Oryzias latipes: one gene and its partners. The protein of the gene in region 4 interacts with the protein of the main gene of each other region in a pairwise test. Links are inferred from orthologs where the notes say so. Each region holds a gene or a part of one and is shown on either strand. Other genes may lie near its edges. The genes, in order: mettl17, ppp1r16b, nck2, sf3b4 and cwf19l2.

Region 1 (4,665 bases), on a different chromosome or scaffold from region 4:
TTAGTTTGCAAGCTAAATATTTCATTTAAGTTAAGTATTTTTTCTTTACAAACTAAATAGTTAATCTACCAAAGGACTAAAGGACTACCAAAATAAAAGCTGGATTTGCTCTGTCTCTGAACTGATTCTCGCCAGACTTGTAGTCCATCATGTCCTTGAGCTTGACTGATTCAAGACATGCAGGAGAAAATGCAGGAAGCGACAGAAAATAAAAAGTTACGAAAATAAGAAATTCCCACCAATCAGTTCAGAGAAACCTGTTTTTTTTCTCCTGAAACAGGCTAAATAACCAAAAATATTGCTGTCAATATTTGACTGTAGCTTTACAAACTACACCCCATTCATCCATGCTTTTATTTTACTTAGTTCTGGATTTCCCACATTACGGAGTTCCTTATGATTGTCTGTAAACTAACATGTATTTGTATCTTCAGCAAATAATATTGGTTTTAAAAGTTTTGAAACATTAAATATATAATTTATGTAAATATCGAATAGCAGAGGGCCCATAATTGATCCTTGTGGGACACCACAACTAATTTCCTTTGTCTCAGATGTAAATTAGTTGATTTTGACTATTTGCTAACTTTACTGAACTCGTTTCTTTAAGAGTCGTTTTGAATTCTGCCTAAAACTTAGTTTGTTTAAGACAGAAGAAAAAAGAAAGACAACTTTTGTTTCTGACTGAATCTCTCACATACAAAACCTTGGATGATGGAGGTGTGTTTTCTACCTTTAAAACATACCTGGTTTCACAGTCTGACTGCGAATTTTCCTTCGGTACTTTGTGACAGGATTGATCTGGACCATGTTCTTCAGATCCACCTCGTATGCGGTGCCGGAACCCGCGTTCAGAGTGACGGCCGGTGTTCCCGCAGACAGAGCCGAATCCAGCAGGGCACACGCCGCCGGCGGGTATGACTCCCACCGGCCTCCGTCCCCCTGCCACTGCCATTCTAGCATCAACACAGAATACCTGTTCACGCAGGTGCCGCTTGTTTCACACGCGCAGACATCCAAGTCTGACGCCTTTTTCTCACACACATAAGTCTCAATAAGGCACTGTATGGTTTTTGAACCGTAACAAAGCATTTTAAACAGCGTAAAACACGAAGACTAGAGTCTAGTCTAGACATGTTCAGTTTATCTGAACAACTAACTTGTTTCACATCAACACAAACCTGTTATTGACTCCATGTCTTCGTTTTTTGGCAAACTTTGGTTTTTATTCATTGAACCCCTAGTTCGCCTCATGTTGTAAACTAGATAGAAAACAGAAGAACAGAATGGAACAATGATGAGACTGTGGAGCAGGGCGGGAAACTTTTTTCGAGCGATGTTTCCTAGTCGGACATGTGTTAAGGATGTCCCGCGGCCAAAGATCGTTTAGGCATACAGAAGCTAACTCGTTTATCAAAATGAGAATTAAATAGTGACATCGTTCTAATCTAAACCATAACAACATAACAAAACACACGAAAAATCATTTTATATTATTAAAAATATATTTAGTATGCTATCTGTATTTTATTAAAACCTTTTAAATTTGTGGAAATTAAGTAAAAGCTATTAAAAGAAACATTCTGCTCTTTCCAGTTGCGTAGGACCACCAAAGATGACAAGAGTGAGCCCTCCTCTTTATCTCACGAAGGAACCAAAGATGACAGACAACAAGTTCCACTTCAGCTAAAACCGGAATTATTTTGCTGAAGGACTGCAAACTCCCAGCGTGGTTTTTGGGGGAGTACATTATAATCCGAATCTGGATTTTATTGTTTTTTGTTCAGACATGGCATGGCGAACATACGGAGCATTTGTTTTTGGTCAGAAAACACCAAGAATAAAGAAAATGTTGAGGGTTCGTAAATCGATTTATCATTACGCAGCTAATTGTGGAGGTCATACTATTTACTATGAGACATAGTATATGTATATAACGATACCTGATCTGTGTGCTTAGATGTTTGAAGCCTAACAGCTATATCTTTACCAATGTGCTTTTTTCCCAATACTTTTTTGATTTCTAAGCGTATTTGTACGCTTTAAAAAAATCCTGTTTGTGTAAATCAATCTCACAGCTTTCTCTTTGAGCTGGAATAAGAGGCTCCTGCAGTAACTTAGCTGTTGCTAGCACAGCGCTTTTCTGGACTGAGAGGTCTGAGGTCTTTCCAGGTATCTGTTGTAGCCACTCCTCCAGCTTGGGGGTTACTGCCCCGAGTGCTCCAATTACCACAGGCACCACTGTCACCTTCACTTTCCAGGCTTTCTCCAGTTCTTCTGAGTCCCTGGTATTTCTCCAGTTTCTCATGTTCCTTCTTCCTGATGTTTCCATCGCTTGGCACTGCCACATCCACCACAACGGCTTTCCTCTGTTCTTTATCCACCACTACAATGTCTGGTTGGTTCGCCATTGCCTCTGTGGTTTGGTGCTCAGGATTTCTCCCTGAGCTGCCAGGATGAGTGCTTCAGTGCTGTCCTGTAGGCCAGCCCTTTCTAGCCATTGGTAGGACTTCTTGATATCAGCCACTTCAGTTATGGTCCGGTGGTACATCCCATGCAGGAGTTTGTCCTCCCATGAGGATCTGTCCTCCAGCACTGTATCCTCTGCTCTCCATTGCCTGAGACATTCACTGAGAACAATGTCAGTTGTGGCCTTGAGCTTGATTTACTCATGGATCTTGGATGTTTCATCCTGGATAGTGGCTCACTAGTCCTATATATATATATATATCTTTGTATTTGTCAGTGAAAGAAACCGAATTGGAAATTGTATTAAAGTTCTGTCTTCTTGATTTGGTTGAAGTGACTAGAATTGTGAAATTAGGTTTTCCTAACCAAACAAAATGTGATTTTAGAAAGGGAACTATAACAAATGGATATTAATAAAATCACATTGAGTTCAATCAGAATCGGTTCTGATCTTGTGATCAAAAAAACTTAGATTTTTCTGGGATCTTCTTGCCTCAGAACTTGGGTTCTGCGGTTCGTCCACAGCCTCAGGAGGATTTTCTGAAAGGAGAACTTCATCGAAAGCACCCAGGGTTGACCAACCTGAAGACTCAGCGTCTTCCTGAAACCCTCCAGATGGCTGCACTGTCAGTGATTCACAGTAAGTTTTGTTATTGTGCATTAACTGTACAAGAAACACAGCCCGATTATTAAAAACAAAACGATAAGAGTAGTTTGATGCTCATGTGTGCTCCACCCTCCAGGAGCTCAGATCGCTCAGCTTCCTGGTCGCTCCCAGAAACTCACAAACTTCCTTTGGAGCCGGAAGCGAGCAGTTGAGGATTTGACAGTGAGGCAGAAAGCTTTGAGCCTGGAGAAGGACCTCTGGGAGAAAGCCATGCAGAGGACAGAAGGTCAGTACGGTGGCCCTGAAGGGCCAATCATTCAACACATCACTCGACACAAAAACATTTTAAAGATCCCAACGACGATGATAAAAAACAACGTTTATGGGATGAAGCAGCATTACATGTTAAAAAAACAAAGCACAATTCCAGAAACCAAAACATAAAAAACATTACAGAAAACAATGAATTTCATCAAAAACAAATTTTAAAAAATCAAAAACTTTTTTGTAAACAAAATTAATTTCAAGAAAACAAAATGAAATGTTAATAAATGAAAGAAGAAAAAACACATAGAAATGCCAAAAACTGAAACACTGAAAAACCGTAAAAAGGTAAATACTGAGAAACATCGCTGATTGGATGATGATGATGTCAGTATCGCCTCAAGACAAATAACTCACAGTTCAATTGATGGACAACCTTCATCGTCCACTCAGCCATGTCCCTCAGTACCTACCTTCTGATGTTTCTCATTGTGTTTCACTTTTCAAACATTTCATTTTGTTTTCCAAATTGTTTATTTTTCTTCTTGGTCTCTGCAGTTTTGTTTTCTAAAATGTAGTGCTGCTTTTTAAAATTTGTTTTGTCTTTTTAATTGTCGTGATCTTTAAAATGTTTCTGCGTCCAGCGGTTCGTAGATGTGATTTGCCCTTCCAGGGCCACCGTAGGTCAGGGAGGGATCCAGTCATAGCTGATGCCTGAAAACAGTCACAAGAGCTCACCTTACAGGGAAAAACCTCTACTTTGTGTTCCAGATTTTGATGAGAAAGCACTGGAAGACAAGATCAGGAGGAGGGTTTTTTCAGAACTCAGGAAAAAGATTTACCACTGGACTCCTCTGAAGTAATGCCCCCTTTCTGACCCATCGCTGTTTAGTGGAGAAAAGTGATGGCAGACATTTAAAAACACACGATGGACATCGTGTTCTTAAACTACTAGATTGTCATTCTTTCTTTAGCTGATCTTACAGTTACAGTCAAAGAAGCTTGAATTGGATCACTTTTGGTGTTTCAGGTACGATGAAGAGATGGGCGTGGTTTACATGGCGAGCCGGCTTGCTGGAGGCTATGCAGCGGTCAGGAGAGTTCTGAATGAGGTCAGAAGTGACGGGAGGAGCAGCAGGAGCACGCCATCTTTGTTTTCTCTGTGTCTTCTCCAACTGATTTTGCCTCAAACCTACCAATTCAGATAAAGAAGAGGGATCCTTCATTTAGTCCTCAGACGCTTCTGGACTTTGGTTCTGGACTGGGAACAGTAGCCTGGTTGGTGTCTGAATTGTTGCCGGTGTGGGTTTTTCCTCCAAAGTGTT
Region 2 (3,876 bases), on a different chromosome or scaffold from region 4:
CACTTTAAAAAGAAATGATGCTCCTGAACCCTCACTGTATTGTAGAAAATAGACTCAAGGATGCGGCGAAGAGAAAAACCAGAGCTCCCTATCTAAAATCTAAAACTCTGAAAAATGGAAAGAAAATACAAACTCAAATACAATTCATTTAATAATTCATACTTCTAAGAATTTAAACCCAAACAGTAATATTCATGGTATGTAGCTCACTTTAGTGTAGCAGTAAAATGCCATATATGCAGGTATCCTTTTTTTTGTTTTTACTAAACTATCTTTGGCTGAATACAAGCTTAGAGAGGGGCAGAGACTATCCGTTTTGCTAAATTAAATCCTAAAAATTGGCGACAGCAGAGTATTGAATCATTATTTTGCTTTTAAAGAATTTCTTGCCTTTTGTCCTCTGTGGGGACACAAGCTTGTTGAGTTATGTTCCACACTCTTTTTACATTAAACCAATACAAGGTCATGCTTTCAGGAGAAAATTAGCTGTAACTTTAGACTTAATTAGCCATTATGGATACTGGACTTGTTTGTTGCTACTTAAGAACAGTGTAACCTTGACAACAATGTGGTAAACATTTAAGTTTGAAAGTTTGATAGCCTGGAGAAGCTGCTTCATTTTTTTTGCATATTAGACTGCACACGTTGTGAGGAATGTTACTGTTTGGGTTGCATCATGTTGTTTTGGACAGTGCAGTGTCTTACTGCTGCGCTGCACAGATGGATTTCCCAGAGAAGCTTCCCGCTCACAGCACAGAAGCTTCCTAAAAGCAGGAAGGCAGATTAGTCGTGCTGTTCGATTGCACTTGTTTATGCGAGTGACTTAAAAAACCAAAACAGCTTTGATTCATGTTATTAAAGCCCAAATAGAAATGTTGCACAGAACTTAATTTAATGGTTTATTTCAAGAAATCAAAGCAAGAATGATGCACAAAACAATACAATCAGCAGTTATACATTCATACAAAGACGCATCAAACTTAGGATAATTAGACATTAAATCAAAGATTGCTTGAAAGGGAGTGAAAGGAAGTGAACTTCTATAATCCCTCCCCTGTTCTACTGGACCATTTTTATTACATGATTTATCATCAACTTTTTATCAGAAAGAATTAAGAATCCTTAAGTATCAATAAATCACATGACAAAGATGAAGTGCTTCATCATTTTATAAAAATAGACGACACTATTTTAGAAATCAACATAGCACATGCAGATCAATTCTCTAAAATAGGTGCAGATTATTTCTCATTAGAAAAATCATGAATGAATTTTTTGGGCAAGTGAAGTGATGTATGTGAAGATCAATCACTTAACCATCTTCATCTTAAAATGCTGAAACAATAACATTTAAATATAATGTTTCTCTGAATAGGTACTCATAAACCTTCCAAATTTTTGGAACAAAAAAAGTAAATTCTTTTATGTCCTTGTAAATTTATACTAATGCTGTAAATTCTTTATTTTTGTTGTATGTTCAGTACTTATTGCACTTCTTTTTGTTTCTTACCTCTAAACAGTTTTTGCACCCTATTTACAATCATGTCCTTTTTCTTAGTTACTAATTTTTCTTCTGTTTGTTTTATTAATGTTTTTTCCTTTATTGTTTTTTTTTGTTGTAAACTCAAATAGCTCTGTCATGACTTTGTTCCACCCTGCTCTGGTTCTTTGCTGTTTATGCAAAAATGCTAACCGAATTCACCTTAGCATATAAATAAAGTAAATCTGACCTTAGTCAGTTTTACTAAGCAGTTTGTTCCTGTTGGAACCAGTAAACCTCTGTCAGACATCCCATTCGTCACTTCAGTGAATCCTTTACCCGGTTTCAGAAGGCTCTGTAGGAATTTCATATTAAACAATTTATGTTCTATCAAAGATTTATTAAAAGCCCTGCTCTGGCTTATATAGTGTGATTCTCTGTGCATGACAGGCATCACCCAGGAGATGATCAATGAGACACGAGCAGCAACGGAGAGGAGGATGCTGGGGGACATTCAGGAGCTGCTCAGGCAGGGAGAGGAAGTCAACAAGAAGGATGCTCAGGGGGCCACACTGGTAAGCAATCCAACCCTGAAACGTCTCATTTCATTTTTGAGTCCTGCTGGCTAAAAGTAGGAGGCAGGTTTTCAGATAGAATAGTTCTTATGACTCTGCTTAGCCGCTTGACCATCTGAATGTATTGCAGGATGAAGAATGTTGTTTTAGCATTCTAATTTTGTGACTTGTTTTATGTTTGGTTCTTTTGCTCTTTAAATTGTGGCTTTTATTATTAGGATGAAGTTCTGTTACTTTGTTTAAAACAAAGCTTCCTCCATTTATTTGTAGTCCTCACCATTTTACAGCCTAATGCAATTTTAACGTCATTGTCTTTAACTAAAATCGGATTTTAACCAAATTTTATTTTAAATAAATCTTTGAAAGCCAACAACTATATATATCTACTTTAATAGTTTAAGAACGGTTGCTCTCTATCCCAAAGAAGAGAGCAGTGGATTTAATGATTCGCCAAAGAGAGCACCTAAAAAGACCAAAACAGACTTTGAAGGGACACTAATATTTTTATACAGAATAGGATTTCTCATATCCTTTACCCCGTGTGCTATCCTATGACCCCACCCTTACATTGACGTGTTCTTCCTACCATGACAAAGGTGGATAAAGGTGGAAAGATTTCATGTAATCCATGGACACCAGTGAAGATCACAAATCATTGAAGAAAAAAAGGTTCAGAGCACTGTCTAGTGGGTCTAGATGACCCAACTCCCAATGTTAAAGTGTCTAGGATAGCACAAGGGTTACAAGTTATTTAGTAATATCGTTCCATTAGGATGTTTATTGTACAAAATTCCAGACCACCAGGGCATTCACAGGAATGATTTTGAATAGAGTCTTAGAGTTGAAAGTGGCTGTACAGTTGTGTGTGTAAACAGGAAGTAGAGCACTGGGCTGGGAACACTACCACAACAGATATCGGAGTTGAGGAAGATGAAGGTGGGCTCTGTTGGTGAGAAAAGTCTCTTTGGTTTGGTTTTATGAGATAAAAAGATGACTTAAAGTCCTCTGACAACATTATATCAGGTATTATTCTGGGATGTCAGTGCACAGAACAGTTAAAAAGGATTTAAAGCAAAAACTATGACCTCTTTGTTATTCTGAGCAGTGTGTGTTGCATCACAGAACTTAATGAGGTCTGTTTTGTGTATCTGGGATTTGACTACAATATAAAGCCACTGCCAGATCACTGGCTGTAAACAGTGTCCTAAAATAACCCCTTAAGCTTTAAATTCGTATCCCAGATTGTTTGTCTCCGAGTCTTCTCTAACTGATTTGTGCTTTCTGTTAATCTTCATTTAAGCATAGAGAAACAAACTGGAGTGTGGCTTATTAGAATATCTTCTTTAGGAGAGAAGGGAGTGGAGCTGCTGAGACATTATGCAATATTTATCATCTGTTTTTGAGTTCATTACTTTGTTTCTTTGTTCCTACTTTGGTTTGAAGGACTGGAAAATGTCATGTTTCCTCTGCAGTTTGTCTGGTTTTCTTCTACACACATAAATAAGGTTTTCTTTCAGTCTAATTAATAATAATAAGGGGGAAAAAACAAGGTTTTAAATGCTGATATCCACATCCTGTTTGTGTACTTTTTGAATCTAACGTGACTTCCCCTTGGTACTAGATTTCTAATTACCATTTCACTCACTTCAGACACTTTCAGACTTTCCACATCCCCATCGAAGTTCTCCTTGTGTGTATTAGTGTTCAATGATATGAGTGTAACAAGTAAAGGTTCATGGAGGTGAAACCCAAGGTTTGATTGGGACTTGAATGCAACATCTGCAGCACATTAAAGATCATCCACTTTGTTCTTATGGATTT
Region 3 (3,876 bases), on a different chromosome or scaffold from region 4:
AAACTAAATCTAATCATGGCCGTCTGTCAAAACTAAGTCCTTCTTTCAGCAGGTTCTTCTTTCAGTTGAAAGCCTGATCTGCAATAGCTGATTGATTAAAACACTTCCAAACTATCACTTCAGTAGGTGGCACCAAGCTTGCTGAGTGTTCCAAAAGCACGATGGCGTGTTTTATGAGGACAAACAAGTTAAACAATGCCACACCTTGTGCAGTTCACATGAGGAAATGCAGGAAATGCTTCATGTGTTTGGCTAATCATTGGAAAGGTTATGCAGTAGCAATAGAAACTCTTTAGGATTGAGTTTCTATGTTTCTATTTGAGTCTGCAGGCTTCATCTGCACTGAGTTTATTCAGTTTGTCATCATTGGACGTTTAGGAGCACGTGTCAAGGTATATAACACAAGGATTCTTCCTTGATCCTGGAAAAAGTTTTTTTTCTTTAGTTTTTAATACTTTTTTTTTATAAAAAATTGAAAATTTAGAAAAACTGACTGTTAGAGAAAATGCTTAGGGAAAAAATTGTAAATATTTGCAGCTTAGTCAGAAATGAGGTTAACTGTAGTTATGAGACTTGGCACATTTGTTTGATTTTCACACTGCTTCTTCTTGGCGCATAAGCTTTAATTCAATTACCTATAGATATTCATCTCTCATGTCCACAGGTTTAGCTGTTAAATGTTATTTTAGAAGCCATTTGCACCACTCTACACGATGAAATTGTGAAATGTTCTTTTTCTGATCATCTTTTGAACTATTGGAAAAGTGTTCCCTTTTAATTAGGATTATGTCGTTTTTGGCCAAAATAAAAAACACTGTGGTTTTTCTACATCATTGTTTCTGCTGAGCGGCAGGTTTTTTCCCCCACAGAAATTCTCTGTTGAGGTATGGGTGGAACAGTTGCTGTGGACTAGGGCTGCACGATATGAGGAAAACTCGCGATATGCGATATTGGTGATTAATATTGCGATAACGATATAATTTGCGGTATATAAACAAATATCAAACAAACCAAAAGCATCATTTCCATTTCAATGCAACAGTATAAAAATTATACTCCAAATGACCCTCGTCGACATAGGAGGCAAACATCAAACATAAAAGGGCTCATCTGATTGATCAACAGCGTAAACGGGTCCTTCCGATTGGTTAAATGCATAAAGGGATTTATTTCATTTATTCAATATTTCAAGCTGCCATGAGTTTGTTTTAGCACATTTAACCCTTGTGCTATCTTAGATGACCCCCCCCCCCCCCTTCTTACATTGATGTGTTCTCCCTACCATGACAAAGGTGGATAAAGGTGGAAAGATTTCATGTAATCCATGGACACCAGTGAGGATCACAAATCATTGAAGAAAAAAGGTTCAGAGCACTGTCTAGTGGGTCTATATGACCCAACTCCCAATGTTAAAGTGCCTAGGATAGCACAAGGGTCAAGGTAACCATTTATTGCGATTTTTGCCATCTTTTGCGGTATGCATATTGCAAAGCTTGATGTCGCGATAACGATAAATTTGTGGTATATTGTGCAGGCCTACTGTGGACCGTAATCAACCCTCCTGCTCCCTGTTGCTGATTCACAACGATTACATAAAGAAATACTCAGAAATGCAATGTTGAGCTTAATTTTATATACTGGTCTGTCCTCCATCATCAGAAAAATGCCACAAGAACATATTCAAAACACCATTTTCATCAGAGTGGGCCTAAAGATTCAATGTTAAAGAAAGAAACCACCTTCATACTGTTTGTCAAACAGCCAACAGAATCGCCTTTCTAAGCAAATAAACTCTTTTGTTTGTTTCTTTAAATAAAGTTTGTTTGGCAGGTGTGGACCAAAAACAAGGGCCTGGCTTCAGTTGCAAGTGAACCTCGATACGATTAAATACAGTGCAGACAGACTATTCAGTAAAAGTGTACAAAGTAGCATAAGGTACAAATGTTTTTAAAAGGTTTATATGTAGTGTGTGGTGTGATGACAAGGGGAATACGTTGATCTTTGTGGGACAGTGAGGGACATCCCGGCTTTTCCGTAGTCTGGGTCAGCCTTCTCCTCATGCCCAGGATTCCTCCGACTTCAACATTTCCACTTAGTCTGTCCCAGATTTGCTTGCTTTTTATCTTGAACTGCTTTTGCACCTTTTTTATTCAAAGTAAAGCATGTGTGGGTTGGTGAGAGACCATCCTAAAGGTCCTGCTGCAAAAAACCTCCCTGAACAACCGATTCTTCAGAAATCTGGAGAGCAATGTGTAGGAACAAAGGAAAGAAAGAAATTGTGCACAGAATCAGGCGGATAGAAGTAGCTCTGCAGCTTCTGTCTTTGAGGGGATTTCACGTGTATTGTGATTCATGCTATGCATACTGAGTTTTAAAAAATCCATTCATTGATATTAATTTCTACGGAGAAAATGAACTCCGATTCATCAAATCACGAACCAGTTTTCCTTTTAAAATGGTTTGGGTTATTTTGAATGGAAGAATCTGTAAATTTTCAGCTGAGAAAACAGATTTTCAACATGAAATGAAGTTGGTTTAAAATGAAATTTAGACAAAAATCACGAGAGCAACAAACAAACTGCATCCCTAAAGTTAAAAGAAAACACTCCTAGACTTCTGTGAAGTCTTTCTCCTGAAGTTTAAATAAAAAAACAACTAAACATAGATGTTAAATTGAATGTTTGATGTTTCTAAACTCTCAAAAGTTTTCAGTGTCAGCTCTCTCGTTTGATTTGCTTATCTGCAGGTTTGGGAAAGACGAAGAGGAAGACGAGCGCTCGGGATGCCTCCCCGACGCCCAGCTCGGACACAGAGTTCCCCTCCAATGGCAGCGGAGGCGGTGGGGGGGTCGGAGGCGGCGCAGCAGAGAGGATCTACGATCTGAATATTCCCGCTGTGGTGAAGTTCGGCTACACGGCCGAGCGCGACGACGAGCTGACGCTGGTTAAAGGCTCCAGGGTCATCGTGATGGAGAAGTGCAGTGACGGGTGGTGGCGGGGAACTCAGGCCGGCCGAGTCGGCTGGTTCCCATCAAACTACGTCCAGGAGGAGGTGGGAGGGCCGGAGGACGGAGGCAGTGGAGATTCCCCGCGGGGCTTCCACGGGGGTTCTGCAGGGACTTTGTTAGCTAACGGGCGGGCGGGGGGCCGCGGCGGAGTTCTTCACAGGGTCCAGACTCTGTATCCCTTTACCTCAGTGACAGAGGAGGAGCTGAACTTTGAGAAGGGGGAGATCATGGACGTGGTGGACAAGCCGGAGAACGATCCCGAGTGGTGGAGTTGCAGGAACGAACGCGGCATTGTGGGACTGGTACCTAAAAACTATGTGATTGTGCTGGACGAGCAGCCCGGCACGCCGTTTCCTCTCTCCAGCCCCAAGCAGAACCGCCTGGCGCCGCCGCGCTCAGGGAGGTTCGCTGACAGGGACTGGTACTACGGAAACATCACCAGACACCAGGCCGAGCACTTCCTCAACGAGAGGGGAGAGGAGGGCGACTTCCTCATACGAGACAGCGAATCCTCGGTAAGTTCAGAAAATCCTCCTGAGATAAAGGAGTCGCAGTTTTGTTTTAGACGCTTCCAACAGCCTCTGAGTTTTGCTGGAATCATAATTGAGGTAAACTTTAGGAAGTGAAGATTTCTAATAGACAGTGATGAAAGTCTTCCGGGAATTCCCGGAAATCCGGGTTTTTGAGCAAACCGAACGTACTTTCCGGGAAATAAAGACCTGATCTCTACGGACAAATCGCTTTCCGGATTAAAAAATGGTCTGAAATCAGCTAATTTTAGCTTTATTTTCTATATTTCTCCGCAGATAGCTTCCTCTATGGTCGTGGCCATCCCTCGTCTTCCCGGCCTAATTGACCAATGACGGGAC
Region 4 (4,340 bases):
TTAACAAGAATTAGATGGTAATCTGTCATCATGTTCCTTTTGTCTATTGTAGACTTCATTGTATGTGGTGAGAACACCAGCAGCCGAATGTATGCTCTGTGTCACCGACAGAAGGACCTACAATGCTGCTCTGGTATGGATTGTGTTTGAAATGTAGATGGATCAGGATTCAGTGTTGGTTAGAGGTACAATAAGAAGGTTAGAAAAAGGAGTTTGGAAAGTTTCTGAGCTGCTTTTCCTTTTTTGGTTTGAGATACCACAACTTTACATTGAGAAAATAAAATACAACCTCATAACACTTGTTGAAAAGTAAAAATCTTTATAGTTAGGCACCCTATAAACATGAAGGCAGTTGATCCGGTGGTCTTTTGAAGACGCTTGTGAATGCAGTTTATTGGACTGTCTCTACTTAAAAGATCAGTCTGGATTTAGGCAAATTAAACAGCAGGAGGGCTGGCATTTGTGCAGCACAATAAAAGTTTAGGAATTGGCAACATAAAATAACAGAAAATTATCCAAAAGACTGAGATTAAAGTCTACCATTTGGAATTGTGTTATGTTGATACAACTTTAAGAAAATAGGTAGTATTTGATTGTAAAACCTTTCAAAAACATCTTAATTAAAACTTTTTGGCCTTTACACTTCTTACATAATGGATCTGTAATTTGCTCAGTTACTTGAAACATTTGAAAGATTTCTAATGAGACTTAAAAGGAATGAACAGTTTGACTGAAATAAAAATTTGTTTTTTTCTGCTAAGTCTGTGACTCAAGTTGGATTAGTCAAAAGACTTTTTTCCTTTTTCTTTTCGTTTGATTATTATTATTATTATTTTTAGAAACAATGATTGCAATATCATAAGAGCCATCAAAAAATGATCTGAACATCTTTTTTATTAAGCTTTTGGAGACTTTGACCTATGTGTGTCCTTTTTGTTTCTTACTTTTCTAAATGAGCAGCCATTTTTAGCTCTTAATGTTCATTTTTTTTTAATGTAAAAGTCTCAGCTCTGTACACAAATGCATTTCACTTATGTTATTATTGATCAAGGCTTTTTTAACCCATTTTTATATATGCATTTATAAAATGAAAACATTGGCTTTTTGTGTTTTGAACTTTGTTGCATGACATGCTTTTTTATTTTATTTTGATACAGTATTGTTTTATAAAAATGGTTTTATTATGCCCAAATTGTATTTTGTATGAACAATTTGTATTCCATGTTTATACTTTTAGTAGATTTATATAAAAATGTATATAAATATGTAATAAATTGGTCCGTACAAAGTTTTGAACTTTATCTGGTCTTGTGTTTTTATTGTTCGATGCTATTAAAAAAATAATCTAAAACGAAGCAAAGATATTGTATTTTATTTTTTGAAAGAGGAGTTCATTTTATATTATAACTTCCGGTTTGCTGAACAGGAAGAGGCGGAGCTTCCTACATGAACGCTTCTGGTGCGTTGGTCATTCAACATGGCCGCGGGACCAATTTCTGAAAGAAACCAAGGTAATTTACGGAATTATTACCCATTTCTTTTGACATTTAGCCGTGCATAAATGTATGTAATGTGTAGTAACACCCAACAAGGGCACATTTTTCCTCATAGAGCGAATATGGATCCTAAAATTAGCTAATATTCTTCTGTTGAAACCGGGTAAACACATGGAGTGAAGCGGCTTTAGCCTAGCTTGTAGCTAATAAAGCCATTCTCCCAATTAATCGTTTATCGAATTTGCACTTTAGATGCACGTCCTTTTATATAAGCATTAAGCTGTGAAAAAACGTATACTCATTTCCATTGTTGCAAATCTATAAATAGAAAGAGAAAAAGCAATATTTTATGCCAGGAACTAATACTAAACAACTGCAACTTCTTTCATAATTTAACTTCAGTTCATTGACCTCATTTTATTCTTACCAGGCAGCATGATCATTAAATTTTTCACAGTTTCAACAATGGTTTTAAAAAGAACTAATGAAACTTTAAGTGAACATAAATATGGTCATTTCTTTTTGTAATTCGTATTCATTAACTTGTGTCAGAAAGTGGAAACCTTTGTAGTGTTTTACTCACCAAGCCTGCTCTTGTCTGTCCAGATGCCACGGTGTATGTCGGTGGGTTGGATGAGAAAGTGTCGGAGCCGTTGCTATGGGAACTCTTCCTGCAGGCTGGTCCTGTGGTAAACACGCACATGCCCAAAGACAGGGTCACGGGTCAACATCAGGGTGAGTGCACTTTCAGTTGGTCAACAAGATTGAACAATTATCTTCTTAGAAAATTATCTTTACAAAATTGTTTTTCTTTATTTAGGTTATGGCTTTGTGGAATTCCTCAGCGAAGAGGATGCTGATTATGCTATTAAAATAATGAATATGATCAAGCTCTATGGAAAACCCATTCGAGTCAATAAGGCCTCGGCACACAACAAAAACCTGGATGTGGGTGCGAACATCTTCATCGGTAACCTGGACCCAGAAATCGATGAGAAACTGCTCTACGACACATTCAGTGCCTTCGGTGTGATTCTCCAAACACCAAAGATCATGAGAGACCCAGACACCGGCAACTCCAAGGGTTACGCTTTTATCAACTTTGCCAGTTTTGATGCTTCTGATGCCGCCATCGAGGCCATGAATGGCCAGTACCTCTGTAACCGGCCCATCACTGTGTCGTACGCCTTCAAGAAAGATTCTAAAGGGGAGCGCCACGGCTCCGCCGCAGAGCGACTCCTGGCGGCGCAGAATCCGCTGTCCCAGGCGGACAGGCCCCACCAGCTGTTCGCTGATGCCCCACCACCTCCCTCTCTTCCCACCCCGGTCCTGACCACACTAGGAGCTGGAATGGGTATTCCGGGCATGGGAGGTGGGTGTTACGTCACATTTATGTGAAAATAGTTTTGTTTTTTTAAAGACTCGCTTTTATGAACATTGTCTTTTTGATGTATTTTTGTGGCATTTTTCTGATGATAGAGACAAAGAAAATGTAGCTCAAACTTGCATTTGACTGCAAACTGCAAAAATTAAAAACTGGATTTAAATCTGAAGCAGACAAAAAAAAAGGATTTTTCTGTAGTTTTACATAACTACTGCCATTCCGCAGAAACTATGTTCTAGAAAACAACACAGGATCTTTTGATTTTGGCTAAAAATGGCATCATCACCATCATCATTTTCATAAAAGACCGCTTTGAAAAAAGATCAAAGGATGATCAGTGTGGGACTTGTGTTTTGTGTTAGCCTAAACAAGTGTTTTTACAGATACAAATTAGCAATTAGCTGCAAAAATACAAACAAATGTACCCACAAGTCCTTCAAGTAGATTGTGTTGATTTGTGTGTGCAGGTCTGCCACCTCCTGGTGCCTTTCCCCCTGTTCCTCCCCCCGGATCACTCCCTCCTTCCATGGCCCATGGCATGGGGATGCCTCCATCAGCAGGTGGCCCACAGGGTATTGGCGGTCCAGGTGGACCACCACCCTTCCCGCCTGGAAGTATGCATCCAGGTGAGACATTGTGACTTCTTAAGAGTGGTTTTTGTCTTTCTGTCGGAGGAAATACAGAGGTTTTGAGCCTCAGAGCCGCGTTTACTTTGTTTGGCATCCGCATAAACATCTGAAAGTCAAAGCCTGTTCTCGTTTTAGTATCTAGTTTTTCTTCCCGCCACCTCCAGTTTGATCCGTTTCTGTCACTCAGGTATGCCTCAGATGCCCATGCACCCTCCCGCTCCGCCTGGCATGGTTCCACCTCCTCCTGCTCCACCAGGATCATCCCAACGCGCCCCGCCCCCCAACCTCCCCCCACCCCCGCCTATGGGCATGCCGCCCAGAGCACCATATGGACCCCCCATGGGTGAGTGTTATGACGCCTCTTCATGTCTCTGTCAAATAGAAAAAACACCTGAAAGGAAAAACGGCGTTGAAGGAAGTGTCAGAGTTGGCAGGATTTGGCAGAGACGCTCTGAAAGTGATGTAATGGGGGTTTGGTAAGGAACCAGGTCCGCCAATCATCTCAGTCACTGACTTACATTTATGAAATCACCTGTGCTTGTAGCATCCTAATATTTGAGTTGTTGATAAAGTAAAACTTCAAACAAATACCTACCTTTTCAAACTAAACTTGCTAATGAATTATTGTCAGCTGAATTAAGGATATCCTGATCAGATTCAGAGTCGTTTGGTTTTTAGTTTTGATTTGATCATTTTAGACTTAAACAGAGCACTTCAGTGAATAAGTTTGAACAATCGAGTAAAAATAGTGCAGCTTGGCCGTGGACCTCGTCTCGCGCCCCTAGCTGTCCCCCAGTTCTATCTGGATGAGGCCCGTCTGCTGGACTATTT
Region 5 (4,617 bases), on a different chromosome or scaffold from region 4:
GCCGGCAATTTTCGCCGACGTTTAACGCCTCGTGACTAAACAAAGGGCACCAATGAGAGTGTGCACACCGACGCGAAAAAACGCCACGCGCCAAAGCGTCAAAAAAAAAAAACGCCTCGGGTTCGTTTTTTTTTTCGACGCGTCGTGTCGAAATCTATTCGACCAATGAGAATGCCGCTTTTGCACACGTGTCTGGAGCTTCTGAAGTTACAGTAAAACACAACTTGGGGGCGCTCAAACACAAAACTGCCTTGCTGAGCACACATACCAGCGAAGAAGATAGACGCCAAGTAGCGTCTACACTGCTGTGAAGAAATAATGACGGACATTCTTAAATATCCCCGAACCAAGTACCAGTTGGAGCTACTGATGCTTGAAATATTCATGTTTTCTTTGTATGATTCTGACAAGCGCGTAAATACTTGCTCACTTCTTCTGAGTGAAAAGCGACTTTAAGAAGCGTAAAGGTGCGCAGCGCCACCTTGTGTACAGGAGTATTTCTGTTTACATTAAGCGCCATCTAATGTCAGGGAATGAAATTGCATGTTCGCTCGGCTCACCGTCAGCGAAAATCGCCTGGGTGTGAACACAAAAAACGTGGCGAAAAACGCTGGCGAATAACGCCTGGCGAATATTCGTCCCGGTGTGTACGGGCCTTGAGTCATTTCGAGTCACCCAGCCATTTGGCTGTGCTCTGGACGCTGCAGGGGGAGTGAAGAATCCTGGGCGTTCTAGTGTTAAATCGTAACTAAATTCTTCACCTGAACTCAACCCAAAAATATTTTTTCAGTTATAGAAATTATTAAAACATCTTTGTTAAGAAACCACTCAGAAAAACTTGTTGACAGATCATTTGTGTGTTTGTATCTCAGAGTAATGCATGGAAGACGGTCTACCTCTGAATCCACACTTGAAGCATCTCCTGCTTCCGTTTTCCTTTTCTCTTTCTTGTCCTTCTTCTTCTCTTTTTTCTTCTTGGATTTCTTCTCCTTTTTCTTCTTTTTGCTCTTCAAAGATCCATCCTGGTAAATGTTTGAATTTAGTTCTTTAAATGGAACCTCAGTTTGTTTAAAAAATATATTTGAATTGAAATAAATACAATTAGCAGGAAAAGAGTGAAGCTGCCAAAATTCTGCATAAGCAAATTTTGAAGCCACTTCTGCAAACATGAAGATTTACCAGCAAACGTTTAGCTTGAGTACAGGAAAAAAAAAAACAACTACCCAATATGTTGACATAAAAAAACAAATAAGTTTTCATGGTTTAAAAAAGATGAAAACTGGTTTGCTGTGAAGCAGGTGGTTTTAAATTCTAAAATGATAAATAAAACTTTATTTCTCCGACAATGGCAAACTCAAAGCAGCATGTAAGGAAAAAAAGATGAAAATTAGATTAGGTAAATATAAAAATAAGGCATAAATACTTTCTTAAGAAATGTGCCACCATTGGCATGTTTCTTTAACAACCTATAGCTCTAGAAAATGATTAAACATGATTCACGTCCAACTGCAGTCATCTTTTGATCCATTTTCAAAGCATTCCCAGTGGTATTTTAATAATAATTATGCTCTTTTAGGCAAAAATTTATAAAATCTGTGTTGTTTTCTAGGACAGTTTCTGCAGGGTGGCAGGAGTTCATTAGAAATTCACCTCGGAGTTGTGGGTTGGACTGTTGAAGTGCGCTCATTACCCATGAACCCTTTGTTTACACTCCCTCCAGCTAGCTCACAGCCCCTCACAACCCCAATCTAACATTACCGGTGCAACAAAACTGGCGAGCAGTCGTCCAGTTTTAAGACAGATTTCAGCTCAGACTGTCTGCTCCTGATTCACAACAATATGAATACAGAAATACTCAGAAATGCATTTTTAATCTCAATTTTCTTGATATATTTTATTCAACATGAGAAAAATGCAACAAAAACATGTTAAAAACAACATAAATACTATACTCATTGGAGTGGGTCTTTAAATGATGTATTTCTGTCATTGTGCTGCTTATTAAATGTCTTTCTGAAGTGAAACAGATACAACTTACGTCTCCTAACTGCTCCAGTCTCTGGTTGACTTCAGGAAGTATCCAGGTGTCCTCTCCTCTCTGCCTCTTCAGCTCCTTTCTCCTCTCCTCCTTCTCATATTGTTGCTTAGCCTTAAAAAAAATAACATTTATTATAATATCTACAGCATACCAGTATTTGTGGTTTTACAGAAATGTACTCACACATTATGTTAAATTATGCTGAAGTGTCTAGAAATAAATGGTAACACTAAACAAAGATTTGAACAAAATCTAGACTTCACATACTATTTTGGGATTATAAGTATAAATGTGAGCTGGAAAATTGATTACGATTATATATTATATTCAGATTATAAAAACAGCACAGAAAGTAAAGAGATTTGGCTAAATATGTTTTGCTGTATATCGGTTGAAGATAAATGTATAGATTGAGTTTTCCTCAGTTCTGGGCTCCACTCGGTTGTTGTCAGTTTCCTGGCGCTTGCGCAGAACAGATAAGAGTCTACAACACATTTATGTGCATTTAAAGGGAACAGCTGTAAGTGCTGCGTAAATAGCTATGTTCATGTTTGAATACAGCTATTAAGATGTTCTTGTTTTCTATCTGTGGACAGTGAATAACTACAATCTGGACAAAATGTAAACACGAAAAAGACAGGCTGCCGCCGTCTGCTGTGCTATATCGGTCACTGACTTTCACCACTTTCAGTGTTTGTGTCATATTTCCCTGCAAGCGTTCAGGGAGCATGCAGCAATGGTCCAAACAGGAATAATCTGAAAAATGTCCCGACAAGCGCTTGCTTAAAACTTCATCACGACAGCAAACCTTCTCAAAACGTCACATAGTCCCGGTTGACTTGATCGTTGATGGTACCATCCTTAGCATGTCGGTTAGCAGGTCAATCAATGTAAACAAAAACAAACGGCGGCGCGGAAATACTTCACATCTGCGTTCTAAAGAGTCCTAGTTCGTACCTTTTGTATCGCCTCTTGTCGCGCCTGTCGTTTCTTTTCTTTCGCTTCTTCGATGTTGCTGGAACTCTCAAAACTGACTCCGTACGCCGCCATAACTACGTCGTACACGGGTCTAGCCAACTGTCGTAAAACATCGCTGTTTACGACAGTTGTTTTGTGGTTCTTGTAGTTCCATTAACCCTAACCCTTAATGCCTAATTTTCCAAAGAGCTAAATAAGATGATTATGATAAATATAAGGCCCACTATCATTATTTTGTTCTATAGTTTTCAAGCATTACATGTGCAAATTAGCGGCTTCAGTGTCCAATGCAGACCTCTCCCATCATCTGTTGTCACCGTTGTCAGTTCCTGGAGTCCAAACCAAAACGGAGAAGCTGCATTCAGCTTCTATGCTCCACAGATCTTCTGGAACAGACTTCAGGAAAGCCTTAGATCTGCTAAAACACTCAGTTTTTTTAAACCCATGTTAAAGGCCCACCTGTTCTCAACAGCATTTAATTAATTTAACTTCAAAAGTTTACATCAGCACCGTTACTCTAAGCTTATTTTAATTTCCGTTCTTTTTAACTTTCTTTAATTTTTATTTTAATAATCACCCCATTAATATCTCCAGTAAATGTTTCCTTTAATGTTTTATGTAAGGCACTTTGAACTACCTTTGTACATAAAATGTGCGAAACAAACTTGCTTTGAAAAAATAAAGTTTGATTGATTTGCCTTAATGTTGGAAATAAAACAAAAAATCTGTGCTGGCTGCTCTCAATTTAAAGTCCCTGATAATTTCAAAGCACAAACTGAACTTAAAAGGAGACCAAAAATCACTTAGATGTGTTTCTTTTTCATTTATTGAATGATTTTAAATCCAAGTTGAAAACTCCCTTTTTCCCTCTGTCTTTTAGCTCAGTATGAGTTGGTGATTTTATTGATGTTTCTTACTTTTTTATTATGTTGTTTATTTTAGATTGTTGTTTTTTTTTAATCTTTCATTGTTAAGTGTTTTAGTCAGCCTCTGCTGGGTTTTTTTTTAAAGCGCATTATAAATAAACTTGACTTGACTTGAATTTTTAAAGATAAAAGAAAAATAAAATGATTTTTAAAATATGAAATACCAACAAGCAAAAACGAACAAAAGAGTCACAAATATCAAAGCCCTGTAAAAGACAGTTTCTCAAAAATCTACATTTATTAATTTCTCTTAAAATCTCAACAAGAACATCTTTTCATTTTGTCTCACTGTTCTGTTTTTTGTTCTGCCAAGTTTTTATTCGCACAGACATATCTTTCTGCATTCATTCCTTCTGCAACACAACACACCAGTTGCCCTGGTCATGGTAACTGCTCTTCACTTTGACTCCAGACACCTGAGCACACAGATGCTCCAGCTCCCCCTGCTGGAAAACATGGTAATAGCGATGAAAAACTGGAACTGTGCTACTCTCCAGTTTCAAAGCAGAAGCTGAAGCCTGAGGGAATGCTGGACTCAGCTTAGCATCTGCACGCTGGGAGGAGTTTGAGTCCGACCCCAGGCTTGAGTCGGGGCTGGAGCTTAAGTCAGGGTTTTCCTCTAGCTGCGATTTCCCTCCCTTAAGATGCCAGGGAACCAAAAGATCCTGGGAAGTA

The links.
Region 1: the proteins of sf3b4 (region 4) and mettl17 interact in binary tests that used the Homo sapiens proteins (3 or more experiments, as listed by UniProt). The link is inferred for Oryzias latipes from reciprocal best matches to the Homo sapiens genes SF3B4 and METTL17.
Region 2: the proteins of sf3b4 (region 4) and ppp1r16b interact in binary tests that used the Homo sapiens proteins (3 or more experiments, as listed by UniProt). The two-hybrid records come from large-scale screens. The link is inferred for Oryzias latipes from reciprocal best matches to the Homo sapiens genes SF3B4 and PPP1R16B.
Region 3: the proteins of sf3b4 (region 4) and nck2 interact in binary tests that used the Homo sapiens proteins (3 or more experiments, as listed by UniProt). The two-hybrid records come from large-scale screens. The link is inferred for Oryzias latipes from reciprocal best matches to the Homo sapiens genes SF3B4 and NCK2.
Region 5: the proteins of sf3b4 (region 4) and cwf19l2 interact in binary tests that used the Homo sapiens proteins (3 or more experiments, as listed by UniProt). The two-hybrid records come from large-scale screens. The link is inferred for Oryzias latipes from reciprocal best matches to the Homo sapiens genes SF3B4 and CWF19L2.

Annotation. Positions count from the first base shown.
Region 1 is NC_019875.2:3,349,201-3,353,865, reverse strand, and holds the start of mettl17 (methyltransferase-like protein 17, mitochondrial), read left to right. Parts: upstream 1-1,665; 5' UTR 1,666-1,789; coding exon 1,790-1,858; intron 1,859-2,967; coding exon 2,968-3,109; intron 3,110-3,212; coding exon 3,213-3,362; intron 3,363-4,111; coding exon 4,112-4,199; intron 4,200-4,370; coding exon 4,371-4,452; intron 4,453-4,544; coding exon 4,545-4,618; intron 4,619-4,665. Other genes in the region: parp2 (poly [ADP-ribose] polymerase 2), read right to left, coding at 747-956, 1,182-1,254. UniProt on the Homo sapiens protein: Mitochondrial ribosome (mitoribosome) assembly factor. Binds at the interface of the head and body domains of the mitochondrial small ribosomal subunit (mt-SSU), occluding the mRNA channel and preventing compaction of the head domain towards the body.
Region 2 is NC_019863.2:11,192,834-11,196,709, reverse strand, and holds part of ppp1r16b (protein phosphatase 1 regulatory inhibitor subunit 16B), read left to right. Parts: intron 1-1,930; coding exon 1,931-2,055; intron 2,056-3,876. UniProt on the Homo sapiens protein: Regulator of protein phosphatase 1 (PP1) that acts as a positive regulator of pulmonary endothelial cell (EC) barrier function. Involved in the regulation of the PI3K/AKT signaling pathway, angiogenesis and endothelial cell proliferation.
Region 3 is NC_019879.2:10,329,479-10,333,354, forward strand, and holds part of nck2 (cytoplasmic protein NCK2), read left to right. Parts: intron 1-2,746; coding exon 2,747-3,522; intron 3,523-3,876. UniProt on the Homo sapiens protein: Adapter protein which associates with tyrosine-phosphorylated growth factor receptors or their cellular substrates. Maintains low levels of EIF2S1 phosphorylation by promoting its dephosphorylation by PP1.
Region 4 is NC_019869.2:7,215,959-7,220,298, forward strand, and holds the start of sf3b4 (splicing factor 3B subunit 4), read left to right. Parts: upstream 1-1,417; 5' UTR 1,418-1,477; coding exon 1,478-1,511; intron 1,512-2,102; coding exon 2,103-2,231; intron 2,232-2,316; coding exon 2,317-2,868; intron 2,869-3,347; coding exon 3,348-3,506; intron 3,507-3,696; coding exon 3,697-3,852; intron 3,853-4,340. UniProt on the Homo sapiens protein: Component of the 17S U2 SnRNP complex of the spliceosome, a large ribonucleoprotein complex that removes introns from transcribed pre-mRNAs.
Region 5 is NC_019871.2:20,782,446-20,787,062, reverse strand, and holds the start of cwf19l2 (CWF19-like protein 2), read right to left. Parts: upstream 3,128-4,617; 5' UTR 3,089-3,127; coding exon 2,996-3,088; intron 2,150-2,995; coding exon 2,039-2,149; intron 1,023-2,038; coding exon 897-1,022; intron 1-896. Other genes in the region: alkbh8 (alkylated DNA repair protein alkB homolog 8), read right to left, coding at 4,287-4,617.